Linked DNA regions of Oryza sativa Japonica Group. Each later gene encodes a partner of the first gene's protein in a complex. Links are inferred from orthologs where the notes say so. Each region holds a gene or a part of one and is shown on either strand. Other genes may lie near its edges.

The links.
Region 2: actin-related protein 2/3 complex subunit 2B (region 1) and actin-related protein 2 share a complex: the UniProt entries of both Arabidopsis thaliana proteins name them as parts of the arp2/3 complex. The link is inferred for Oryza sativa Japonica Group from reciprocal best matches to the Arabidopsis thaliana genes arpc2b and ARP2.
Region 3: actin-related protein 2/3 complex subunit 2B (region 1) and actin-related protein 2/3 complex subunit 3 share a complex: the UniProt entries of both Arabidopsis thaliana proteins name them as parts of the arp2/3 complex. The link is inferred for Oryza sativa Japonica Group from reciprocal best matches to the Arabidopsis thaliana genes arpc2b and ARPC3.

The regions. Positions count from the first base shown.
Region 1 is NC_089038.1:26,109,160-26,113,347, reverse strand, and holds the start of actin-related protein 2/3 complex subunit 2B, read left to right. Parts: upstream 1-1,300; 5' UTR 1,301-1,411; coding exon 1,412-1,497; exon of another isoform or gene 1,498-1,581; coding exon of another isoform or gene 1,582-1,625; intron 1,626-1,717; coding exon 1,718-1,784; intron 1,785-1,926; coding exon 1,927-2,134; intron 2,135-2,261; coding exon 2,262-2,407; intron 2,408-2,503; coding exon 2,504-2,581; intron 2,582-2,657; coding exon 2,658-2,790; intron 2,791-3,172; coding exon 3,173-3,264; intron 3,265-3,378; coding exon 3,379-3,435; intron 3,436-3,517; coding exon 3,518-3,572; intron 3,573-3,654; coding exon 3,655-3,866; 3' UTR 3,867-4,188. Other genes in the region: BRCA1-associated RING domain protein 1, read left to right, coding at 193-311, 398-709. UniProt on the Arabidopsis thaliana protein: Functions as actin-binding component of the Arp2/3 complex which is involved in regulation of actin polymerization and together with an activating nucleation-promoting factor (NPF) mediates the formation of branched actin networks.
Region 2 is NC_089042.1:17,335,520-17,339,929, forward strand, and holds the start of actin-related protein 2, read right to left. Parts: upstream 2,933-4,410; 5' UTR 2,820-2,932; coding exon 2,778-2,819; intron 2,112-2,777; coding exon 2,001-2,111; intron 1,908-2,000; coding exon 1,773-1,907; intron 1,629-1,772; coding exon 1,557-1,628; intron 1,465-1,556; coding exon 1,386-1,464; intron 1,258-1,385; coding exon 1,208-1,257; intron 670-1,207; coding exon 566-669; intron 451-565; coding exon 382-450; intron 299-381; coding exon 235-298; intron 165-234; coding exon 96-164; intron 1-95. UniProt on the Arabidopsis thaliana protein: Functions as ATP-binding component of the Arp2/3 complex which is involved in regulation of actin polymerization and together with an activating nucleation-promoting factor (NPF) mediates the formation of branched actin networks.
Region 3 is NC_089036.1:7,667,434-7,671,623, forward strand, and holds actin-related protein 2/3 complex subunit 3, read left to right. Parts: upstream 1-1,377; 5' UTR 1,378-1,512; coding exon 1,513-1,515; intron 1,516-1,975; coding exon 1,976-2,084; intron 2,085-2,187; coding exon 2,188-2,457; intron 2,458-3,193; coding exon of another isoform or gene 3,194-3,204; exon of another isoform or gene 3,205-3,267; coding exon 3,268-3,410; 3' UTR 3,411-3,802; downstream 3,803-4,190. UniProt on the Arabidopsis thaliana protein: Functions as a component of the Arp2/3 complex which is involved in regulation of actin polymerization and together with an activating nucleation-promoting factor (NPF) mediates the formation of branched actin networks.

The DNA.
Region 1 (4,188 bases):
TTTTAGAAATTAGACAATAGCTGATGGATTTTGTCACTTCTTACATGTAGTTCTCTTTTCATACGCTTAAAATAAGTTGAGCATGCTTACCACATGAATATTTTTATGCTTGCATTTACAATGGTTGCTCCATTGTAAATACCCTCTTCTGCTAGGAAGTTTCTCTGATTCATGTTATTGTGTAATATTTAGGGCTGAAAGCTTGTATGGAGGCTAAAGAACCAGTCCCAGAAGAGCCTTATGAGATCAGTTCTGATGTTCATGGCTCCTTTGATGGCCCTCGCATGGGAAGACTACGAGCAATGCAAAATGTGTGTATAAATTCACTGAGTAAATAAGTCAAAGTACAAGTTCAATCTTCATGGAGTATTGATCCCATGTGTTTCTTGTTTTCTAGGCACCACATCTGTTTGCAGGATTGACCTTTTACTTCAGTGGCCATTTCATGCCCAATTACAAGGTTCACCTTGAAGATTTGATCACTGCAGCTGGGGGATCAATCTTGGACAAGGCTGATCTCTCTAGCACATCCTTGATAATTTACAGCATGGAGCCACCACAAGGAAGTGATCCTGATACCCTTAATGAGGTCATCAGAAAGAGGAAGGCTGAGGCTGAAGAATTGGCGGCAACGATTGGCTCCAGGGCTGTTCCTCATACATGTGTTCTGGATTCTATTGCATCATGCACAGTGCAATTGACCATGTGATGCTGTATCTTAGGTTAGGAGTTAGGATGTTACTGATATGTTCTTGAGTGAAAATATCTTCTAGATGTTGTAAGTTGTAACGTGAGCAAGCAATTTAATTCAAATAATATTGATATGTCTCTTTCCATTTTCTTGTCGGTGTCGTCATTTCATATGTTTCACCTACCGGCTACCGCCGGGCGCAGTTGGTCTAATATTTATTTTGCAAAAAAGGTGAGCCTTGCAGGCAGGGTTACTCCCAAATCTGCTTGAGTTGATTGGGGAAACACCTACTTGCCGTTCTTTTTCTTTTTACCAAAAAAACAAAAAAAAACTTCTTGGCGGATTTGAATCACATCAGTGCTTCGGTGCTACTAGTATTCAAGAGTTCCTCTGTTCAGCTATGGAGTTTAATTATTCACTGCTACAGGGATGATGGGCAAAGGCGTCAAATGATTGTGGAGTGCATTTGAAACAAAGCAAGGAATTGAAATGGCTGAGCTCAGCTGGTTGCTTCAGATGTTTACCAACAACAGTAGAGGTCCCCTTCAGGCTTTCAAGTCTCACCAGTCAGACGGTCACCGGTGTCCCCTTGCTGCTGTTGGTGTCCCATGATTTTGTTCTTTTCACCAGACCCTCGTCCTCGTGCAGTGATGTAGAAGCACTTCTGCATCTTCTCTTCTCCCACCACTAGGCCCCTCTATAATAAGGAGCCAGCAATTGATGCTATGCGGTAACAGTGCTAGCTCCATGGCGTTCTTCAGCAGCGGATCGCGGGCGCTGGTGGAAATCCTGACGGGATTGCAGAGGTGCGTTGCTGTTGGTTAATCTTTCCTTCTCTTTCTTTGCCAGTGAAAGCGGAAATCTTTTTTCGATAATTGAATTCAATCCAGTCTCTACATTGAGGTGAAAGCAGAAAAGTTGTCTGTGTGCAAAGGTTGGCTGCCTGAGTTGTGCCGCTCCTACATACATACATGGATTGGTTGACGCAATGTGATCAGAAAACTATGTTTCTCTTGATCTTTGCAGTGTTGAACGACCTATGCCTGTTGATCATACCTTGTTTGAGTTTGGATCAATCCGTTACCATTTACAGGTAATTTTGCTCCAAACACCTTTGATGCATTATCTTGCAATTTGAAACAAATAATGTAGGGCATGGAAAATGATCATATAATACGCATCAAGTATCAACCAAACAGAACATCTCGGCACTTACAATTTGCATAATTGTTCAGGCTTCTATTACAGATTCAGAGAACATATACTTGTCAATATCAACACCATCTCTTTCTTATGAGGCTTCGCCATCCAGCGGCTTGCCTGAAATCACATTACAGGAGACAAGGAAAATGTATCACAAGTTTGCAGAGATCATCGAGCCTGCAAAAGAAGGATACACTTTGACACTGAGACTGAACTTCTCTGGCCTTACTCGACCGAAAGGTATGAGCATCCTCAGTCCTCACACCCTGTTTCAGTTGCTGTATTTGGTGATAGAAATATTAGCCAAGGCAACTGCAGGTCTGCAGCAAACAAGGATTCGATGTAAGAACGATTGCTCTTTATGCAGATCGCACCAAGGCGATCAACCAGATATCGTTGCTGCAATCCGTCATCCTTAGCTCGCAGCTCAAGGACATGCTGGCGAGCCTCGGCTCGTCCGGCACGATGAAGCTCGTGTACAACCAAAGGGACCCTTTCTTCGTCAGCAAAACGGTACTATCCTAAGCTACGCAGATTAACAAAAGCTTCACAGGTAGAGCAAAGCATCAGCACGGCTCGCTGACGATGCGGTTCTTGGCCTGCCTGCAGCCGGTGAAGATAAGCGCCATATTCCCCATGCGTTTCAGGGACGACACGGACCTGGCCATCGCGTCGTCGTTCTTCCAGGTTGGGCCGGCGCCTTCTGTACGTACTTTTTTGAGTTTTCTGGTTAGCTCCGAGACCTGAAGAAAAAAAACGACAGGAGCTACAGGACCTCGGGAGCACGTCGTCCTTCTCCAGGGCGCCGCGGTGCAGCTGGTCGCCGATCCCGCCACCCGAGCTGCGCGGGGAGTACGTGCACCACCTCACCACCAACGGTGGCTTCGTGTCCTTCGGTACGTAGCAGTAGCACATATCGCACGCGGCATCCGCGTCCGCTCGCTCGCTTGCCCCGCACCGCACCAACCACGCATATTCTCCGTTTCGCCCCCACGCGGCCACGCCACGGCACCGTGCCGACGCGCGCGTTTTGTGTGCGCCCGCACCGCGCGATCGCGAGAGGCCGGCCTCCGTTCCGCGGCGTCGGTGGCGACTACCGACGCGGCCCTCGCGAAACGAAACCCGCGCGAGCGGGTGCGCGGGGCAAAGTAGCCGATCCGGACGGACGAGGCCGCGGTGCCCGCGGCTTGGGCCGGCGCTTCTTGGGTTGGGTTGGGTTGGGTACACTTCGACTTTGGACTTTTGGAGGGTTGACGCGTGCGGGTTTGGAATTTGCAGACATCCTGGCGCGGCACGTGAAGGGGAGGAGGGCGGCTAGGACGGCGTGGATCCTGCTCAATTTCCAGTCCTACGTGAAATACCATATCAAGGTAGGATGCGGCATCGCACGCTGGTTTTGTGTGCTACTACATGATTATATCGGCGTTTTAAATTTACTGGGAATGGTGTGGTTTTACTGACGGCGAGAAAGTTCGTGTGCGCAGTGCACCCGAAGCTACATCCAGAGCAGGATGAGAAAGCGTCTGGAGATCATGACAGAGGTAACAACTCCATACCATTTAAAAGAAACATTGGGTATCGAAGGAGTGGCAATTGCTTTAAACCGGGCTCGCTGTGCTTCAGGTGATCGATGACGCGAAGTTCAGAGGAAACGATGAGAGCAGCAAGAAGCTGCAAGGTATTAGTACCTGGATACTGCAAGCTCTCGATACTGGCTCACTGGCTGACCGATCTTATGCTCGCGAACTCTGATGTCGCAGTGAGGAAGAGAAGCAAGAGAAGATCAATCAAATTCGCGAGAGCCAAAAAGCTCCAAAAGGGTTTCAAAGCTGTCATCGACAAGATCAAGCGGCTGCGGCTGAGGATCAGAGTGAAAGGCCTGGACCGGTTCAGGAGGCACTGCCAGTGCTTCCCAGTGCTCAAACTGACCATGGCACAGAGGAAGGAGCAGAAGTACCAGAAGCTGGAGTGAATCCTAATCAACTTTACGACTAATCACTTTTTTTTTTCACAGCACAGGCACAAGCGTGGTGATACATGCATGCTGACTCTTATCCTTTTTCCATACTGATCAAGTATACAAATCTGGTGAGTGATGAACATCCATTCAGATGGAGGGCACTACCATAGAAAAAGGCTAACAGGAGGACAGACAGTACACGGTTATTTAAAAACCGTTACATATATCTAAAAAATATCATAGACGACTATATTAGGAATTGTCTATGATAAAAAGCATCTAGTGTGTTTTTTTTCTTTTGAAAAGCACGAATGTGTTTTTTGTTATTTTCACT
Region 2 (4,410 bases), on another chromosome or scaffold:
TTATCAATGTTATGTTGGTACTGATCCTAACAGAGAAATGCATGCCTTAATGTATATCAGCAAGCTATGAAAGAATAGTATGAGTACAAGCTTACAGGAGTAAAAAGAGCCTCAGGAGCTTGAAACCGTTCAGTGCCCACTTTGATTACCCTTCCATCTGGAAGCTGATGACAAAAGTTCAGCCAATAATACAAAAAGGGACCAAATAGAAACAAAGCAGGTTAACATACTTACAGTGTAGCTTTTGACAAGGATAGTGGTTTCAAGTCCTAGCTGGTATTCACGCTTGTAATCATAGCTGTACATATTTTCCCTTTTCAATTCTATGAAATGTGACAGCAAGCTATAGCGAAAACAATTAAGAACAATAAAGCAACTGACCTTAAATAACATAGTTTCTCTTTTATTTCCCGGACTGTTTCAAAGTCGGCAGATTTGTTCATAGCATACCTTTAAAGCACGAAATTAAGTTGATAAGAAAAACACTGAAGCAAACAATTGCATAAGCCTGTGTTTTCAGAGCATCTTTTATCTACAAACATATAAAAATGATAAAGAGTATTACCCTCTTCTTGAGAGTAGATCAACAAGATAAGATGTTATGTGCCTTCCAGCTACATTCATTCTTTTTGTAATATGTGGGTAAGAGAATCCATCAACTACCGGCACCTGGATCATAATAAACATGACGGGCAAAAGTAAATCTAGATAAAACTTTCTTTCACATTGCAAATTGACAATAGTCAGTATTCAATTGCTTAACTTTTTGTGCTTACTACTTACTACACACGTTGGTGATAACCTTACAATGTTAACTGGCTATGTGCGAGAATAACTAAACGGGCACTAGCATGCCATACTAACTATGGACTATGGAGTATAGTTTAAATTATCATTTTATTTCCATGATCGACATTTTGACCAGAAATCATAGATTATGGTGTTCAATGGCTGTGATTTCTACTAAGCCGCCTACAAGGAAACAAGGTATGCATATAGTCTTGGTCATACATCTTCACTGGATCAACAAAAAAAGGTAGATCCTCTTAGTTGTTGAGTTGAGGAATACCCATTAGCACAGTAGAAAATTATAAACATGCATCAGATAGATATTTTTGTAGTGCACCACAAGATTAACAGAAATGGAATCTCTGCATTTCAAATCTTTGTAGATTGTACAATATAGGGAAGACTATTATTATCATACCACATGAGTGACACCATCACCAGAGTCTATGACAAGTCCAGTCAGCAAACCTGGAAAGGATACAAACATAATACATGTTAAGAAAAGAACCAGTACATTTTGTGTTTGTAGGTGTGCAAGCTCATACATGTGTCTGTATACTGAGAGGGGGGGAAGGGGAGAGAGAGAGAGAGAGTACCTTGAGCATATAGCGAAAGAACAGCTTGGACCTGGATGAATACCCCAGCAAAGTTGTATTTCTCAAACATTGTCTCAATCTATTTATCGTAGGATTCAATTTGCTAGTTAGTGATATCTTAAAAAACAAATTTCATAGTACAGAACAGCCAGATGGGAGAAAACAACCTACCATTTTTTCACGATTTTTCACAGGATTGAGTGGTGGATCTGTCAGTAGAATTTTACACTCAGAAGGATCAACCTAAAGAAACAAAATAGAAATACATTGATTTACCTAGAGCTAAGAGATTTCAAGACACATAACGGAGAATGTTGATGAATTATGAGCATATAAATTTAAAAGGGTCTGATGTTAAAGTAATATAAATCATATGAAAAGTCATACTTTCAGCTCACTGTAAAATGCATGATCCCATATATGGCCCATATCATCCCAACTTTGAACAATCCCATTTGTAACAGGATATGATACGTCAAGTTGATGCCTCAAGTCAGCACAAGCCGCTCCAACCACAATATCCTGCGTGGAACACAATCACAATTATAAGGTGTACTGAGAGAGAGACAGAATGAGGGAATGCCAGAAACACAAAGATAGACATTGATTTCAGACCGTCAATTCCTGCTCCTGGAGTGACTCCTCATAACGGAGCAATGGTCGCCCAACAACACAAGGGAACACAGATGTAGGGAAGTTCTCTCCCGCAAAGCCACACTTTACATACTGCAACATTAGCCATTAGGTACCGAATTAGAAATTAACAAGATCACCTATGAATATGATATGTTCTGCTGTTGTTTAAGGCTTTAAGCATATCGAACATCAAGCCACAGGAATGATGTGGAAAATACTTAACAGAAACTAAGCCAAAGACAACAGCATAATTTCTTTTGGACCGCAAAATATCAAACTAATGTGGTTTATATGAATGAACATTATCTATTCCAGTTCCGCATTTGGAAGGACATTATCTAAAGATTCAACAGAGAACAATAATCTCATCGTATTACAGCAATTTTTCCTGCCTATGTGGAGAACAATAATTCCACCATACTAGAGCAATTTCCCCCTTCAATTTCTTGCAATGTGCACACGTATCATTTCATCCTAGATTAATTACAGCTCAGTAGTAAGCAGCAAAACTTATTCGGCACAAATGAATCTAGAGCACAGATGCTAATTACTCCCCAACCAAAGAGAGAGAAACAATCCTATCGTATATATTCAGGAAATTTCAGAAGAAATCCAAGAAACCGTCCAAGAAGAAGAACCGGGACGGAGGGGGTGCAGATCTAGGGGCAGGAGCGTGGAGGTAGAGAGGGAGGGAGGGAGGTCGCCACGCTGGATCAGGGATCAGGCTGCGGGAGGAGGGGGGGAGGGCGGGCTTACCCCGGTGCCGTTGTCGCACACCACCACGTTCCCGCTGTCCATTCCGCCTCGCCGTCGCCGTCGCCGATCGTCTCCCCGCGCGCGCTTGGGAAGTTGGAAGGGAGAGGGGGAGGAACAGAAGGCGAGAGAGTAGGGGAGGGACGGGGACGGGGTTGGGAGAGTAGTCATTTGTCTCACTGACACGTGGAGCCCATTGCCATCGGGCCCACGTGTCAGCGACCACGTCTCTCCGATCTTAAGCAAGAGGATTTTGATAGAGGGAGCTAAATGCCTCCTTTTAATTTTGTCTTCACAAAATTATCATCCAATAAAGGTGGTTTGTTATACTTTTATCTACATGGCCCGCTAGCATAGCAAGGTTAGCAATTTCTTTATATTTCATTTCTTCGCTAGCTGTTAAAGCCTAACAGCCACCTTAATCATAGCAAAGTCCCTATCGTTGTACCCGCTAGTTGTCAAACTAGCTCTAACATGAAGGAGGGCGTCAACCCTGACGATGAGGTGACCGCTTGAGCTCGACAAAGACAAGGTGTGCATCTTGGAACTTGGGTGGCGACGAGCTTGACGTCACATCCTAACCTGGGGAACCCTACGCCCTCTAGTTCCTCTGCCGCCTAGGTCTCTCTTCACAACTGTTGTCCTTGGAGACCCATTGTTATTAAAAAAATACCTCCACTTCTAAGTGGGGACTCCTCCTGCACCAAACTTCCTCTTATCGCCTGGCGAGTTATTTGGCCTCAACGCTTACCTTGTGCTAGAGCTCCTCCAACAATGAGCAGGCATGGTAACAGGGAGGCTTCCGGCAATTGGTAGGGTGGCTACCAATCTACAACGGCTAGCGAGGTGGCTATAAGATTGAGACGACCAGCATGAAGGGGGTAGTATGGTGAGATGAAGAGGGAGAGAGAGGCACTAATCGGGCGTTTAGAGGGTTGCCACCTAATAGTTAAATTTGTCCTCAATTGAAGGGACAGATACTCACCAAGCTAGCGCTACCGCTGGTCAGGAAGCCGAAGCCAGACTAGTAAAAAAACGTTTTTTACCAACGACCAAAGCCTGAGCTGGTTTGATTTGCTAATAGTATTATTTGATTCAATAAATGGAGAATGTAATAATTTTATATGTAGTAGATATAGTGATTAAAAGTATTTGTAAAGATTGAGCGAGTATATTAATGTAAGCCTGCATTTTACTTATTCGTCTTTTTCTTCTCAAATATTGCTAGACGTCTTCAAATTATATTAGTTATAACTATAGTTCACACAATTCAATAATTTAACCTTATTGTCTAAAATGATGCTATCTTATTACGATTGGGAAACTTTTGTTGTTAAGTTCTTAACACGATAAAATTTAGCTACAGGTTATAAGACCTACTCTCAATTTTATTTTTAATTTAACTTCAGAATACTAAAATAACGATTAGCAACTTTCTATAACTTAAAAAAACCAACGTATTTCACATATGATACAATTCAATAGTTTAACCTTATTGTCTAGAATGATGTCATCTTTATATGATTGCAAAACTTTTTGCTCTTAAGTTCTTAACACGATTTTTTTTTTAAGAATTACACGGTACAACACAGACACTCACAACGCATGCACACTCACCCCTATGAATGCGTGCACG
Region 3 (4,190 bases), on another chromosome or scaffold:
TATTTTCCCCCGATAGTTGGGGAACCGCTAGATCCAGCAAGAAGGAGCCTGGATCTAGCGTCTCCACTCTTCATCGGGTCGACTCCTGCCTCCGTGAGTCGCTACAATAGTATGCATGACAAGAGGGAGAGGAAAAAAAGATGGCTCATGGAGTGCAACTAGAGGGTGCAGTTGCGCATGCAAAGACAGAGAGGAGAAACGATGGTGGCTCATAAAGAAAGAGTGGTGGTGGCGGTGCGTGGAGTAATAGTTAGTGGTTACTGGTAGTATGAAGAGTTTGTTGTCGACTCAAATCGCTAACTGAGTTTGTTAATTTTTAGAATGTGGACCACTAGTCATTATAAAGAAATAGTCATTATAAAGAAATAGCTAGTCTTATAAAGTAGTAAAATATTGAGATATCATAAAGGTGAGAGTACTCGTCTAGAGCTTTTAACTTTTTACCATTTTTAAAATATGGTAATTAAGAATTTACTACTCACAATCTATAATACGTGGATCCTTATGTGTATATGACACGAGAATGCTCCTTCTCGGTCGCGCGAGGGGAGGGGAAAAAATCGGTCGCTCCACCCTTCCCCCATCACGTGCGCACCAGCAATCTCTTTGGGCCCCCACCACATGTCCCCTGTCCCCACCTGCCACTTGTCCACACACACAACTCTATTGCAACAAATCACCCACATATTTTGAAAACCCTATATTAAGGGAATTTGGTTTACTTTTTGTTCCACCAAAAAAGTTTCACGTAGTGTACTCATAATGTTTCACTATGTATAGATCTAATGTTGCAGTGAACTAAAATATTCCATTGCAACAAAAAAACCCACATATTTTGGAAACCCCCTATTAAGGGAATTTGATTTATTCTTTGTTCCACCGAAAAATGTTTCACCTAGTGTACTTATAATGTTTCACTATATATGGATCAAAAGTTGCAGTGAACTGAAACATTCTTTCACTATTTGCTGAAACATTGTTTTTATATAAGGTAAAACAACACCCAATTGAAACGAGTGAAATATTTTCGATCTACTTAGTAAAACAATTCCGATATACCTGGTGGAACATCGTGCAACATTTAAAAATAATTCAATAATAAGGTAAATTTTTTTTCGTCGAAATATATGCCTGTGTGGCCTTGTTTTGAAGATTTAATTGCAGCGAATTTAATGATGCAATCGGATTATGATATGGATAAGTAATTTAAGAGAAAAATCAGTTTAAAATAGTTTTTCACGTAAAGCGTCCGATTTTTCTCCAAACCGATCAGACGCACGATCCGTAGACTCGTCCGTCCGTATATACATGTGGGACCAGCGGTAAATTCTTAATAATTCCCAATAGTAAGAGTCTGAGCGTCTTCCCCTTCCCTTTGTGGCGTAAAAGAAAGAAAAGAAAATCTCCCGTCTCTTTGTCTCCTCCGCTCCTTGCGCCGCCGAGACGAGTCGCGGCTGAACAGGGGAGGGGCGGCGATCTCCATCGGGGCGAGCAGAGCAGGGGAGAGGATTCATGGTGAGCATCCGCATCCTCTTTCTGATTCATCTCTCTCTCTCCCATCGGGACTACTTTTGTCTGGAATTTGCTTGCGTTCGTTCGTTCGTTCGTTAACCCTAGCTTCTCTTCTAGATCTGGAAGAAGCTCTTCCCTTAATTTCAGAGCCTTAACCTTAATACAAGTAACAGTTTGTTTATTCCCCGAGAAGTTTGAACCCCCATGTCCCAAGTTGGATCCGCTCCTGTACATAATATTGGCAGCTTGTGGCACTCTTGAATGGAGGTCTTGGAAGATACTTTAGTACCTGTTCTATTAGATTGGTGTGTTATAGGCCCTGTGTGGAATACAAGAATTTTGCTCGGTTTTCACCTTTAATTTTCCTTGTATTTCCACCTTGTTTTGTTAGATCGCTGTTGCTCACTTGCTTGCAATGTACCGTTATCTGAACATCATATGCTTTTTTTCTACTTGTGGACAGGTTTATCACTCTAGCTTTGTTGATGACACCGGGATTACCAAAGCATGCGGCTGTCCTTTGCTTCCACTAAAAACTCATATAAGGGGCCCAGCGCCAGCATTCGATCAAGGTATACTGACACGGTGACAACATAAAATACATTGTGATATACTTCCGTGGTTTCACTCTGACAGAACCATGCCAAGCTGCTGATTTATGTCGTGCTATTACAGACAAGGCTGACATTGTTGATGAAGCAATTACATTCTTCCGAGCAAATGTCTTCTTCAAAAACTTCAATGTGAAAAGCCCAGCAGACAAGTTACTGATCTATCTGACATTTTACATCAATATTGCCCTGAAAAGGCTGGAAGGTTGCCGAACACTGGCTGTTGGGACAAAGGCAATCATTAATCTGGGTTTGGAGAAAGTTCCTGTGCCTGGGGAACCAGGGTTTCCCTTCCCTGGTCTTTTCACTCTACCCCAATCTCAGGAGGAAGCAGGTATATGACTTCATCCGCCACTACCACATTTGTGTGCTTGTATTCTCTTTTACTCCCTCCGGGTTGATAATACTTGTCGTTTTGGACAAGAGCACGCTTTCCAAAAAACAACTTTGGCCATTATTTTTAATTATAATATGTATAAAGGTGTTAACAAATATATGATTTTATTAAAGTACTTTTTAAGACTAATCTATACATGTAGTCACCATATTTTAAAAATGATTCATAATCAAAGATTCTAAAATTTGACCTCACCCTTGTCTAAAACGATAAGTATTATCAGTCCGAAGGGAGTAGTTTCTCAACTGTGTGAAATCATTGTTGCTTTTTATTCCTAGAGAAAAGCTTGCCTTATTTCTCGAATAGTTAGTTTTTCTTCTTTTCCCCCAATTGTTTATCCATGCTGCTTTTCTTCTATACCATACTATTTGTCCTGGCTAGGGAAAAAACAAAAGAATGAAGCCTATTGGAAATTTAGCTTTTGTGAGATTACAAGGGGACCTTTCCAAACTACAGCAATTTATGTCTTAGATACTTTTATTTTGGATTTAACTAAATCTGTAGTGAACTCCTTATTTGATGTCCTGTATATATGTTTTTTTTTTGTCAATTTCTATGGTCTAAACTATAAGTCTGCTCTGGGTATAGAAGCAATAAGTTGCTTACTGACTATTGACAACTGTTTTTAGGAACATCCAAGTTGTAATTGCATCAGTTTTTTTTTTACTTCTAGGGACTAAATAAAACAGTAACTTTCCATCTCTCATGGAATGTGATCTCAATTAAGCATTTCTCTGTTGGATTCAGAACTATTGAGGAATTATCTGAAGCAGATAAGGGAGGAAACAAGTGGAAGGTTGCTTAACTGCGCATACAGAGCTAATGGTACTCCAAACAAATGGTGGTTGGCTTTTGCAAAGAGGAAATTCATGAACATTGTCATTCTTTGAAGTATAGGTATTTTCCGCGACATGTTTGAGCAATTGAGCAGCTTGTAGGAATGGTAATTGCACTTGCGTACTTATTTCTGCGAATACTTTAGAGAATTAAAGGAACGACAATGATTCTACACCTCGATTGATGGAGCCAAAGGTTCTAATGAAACAATGGATAGAATGTCAACAATTTGTTTATTGCAATGGATGAACACAAGGACACCTTTCAGCTGTTATGTTGAATTTCTATTTTTCATTTTTATTGTACTCCGTCCGTGCCCTTAAATTGGGCATGTATTTTTCAGATGATGTTTGAATAGCGAATGTTCCGTGTAGGACATTTGTACAGATTTAATCAGGTGTAATGAGAATGTGAATATATATTTTCCTGATCCCTCTTTTTTGTATCATTCGTGTTAATCCTTTATCTGTTTTTTTTTCAATATGATTATAAGATATGGAGAAACCTGGACGTGCGCTTCCCTGATCTTGCCAAACGTTGGGAGTAAACTGCTGCTTATAAACACCTCAAGTGTGAATTGGCATGGTTAATTTCATTATTCGATGAAGCATTCTTTGATACAAGGTGCTTATAAACGATTTGAATGCAAAGCCCATTGCATCACTGAGACCTGAGGTGATATTCAAGCTCTATGGCTTGTCAGTCACCATGTCATTCGACACAAAGGATATCTAATGCCAGGTGTTCATACATAGATTCAGAAAAACAAAATATCATTCGACACAAAGGATATCTAATGCCAGGTATTCATACATAGGTTCAGAAAAGCATTA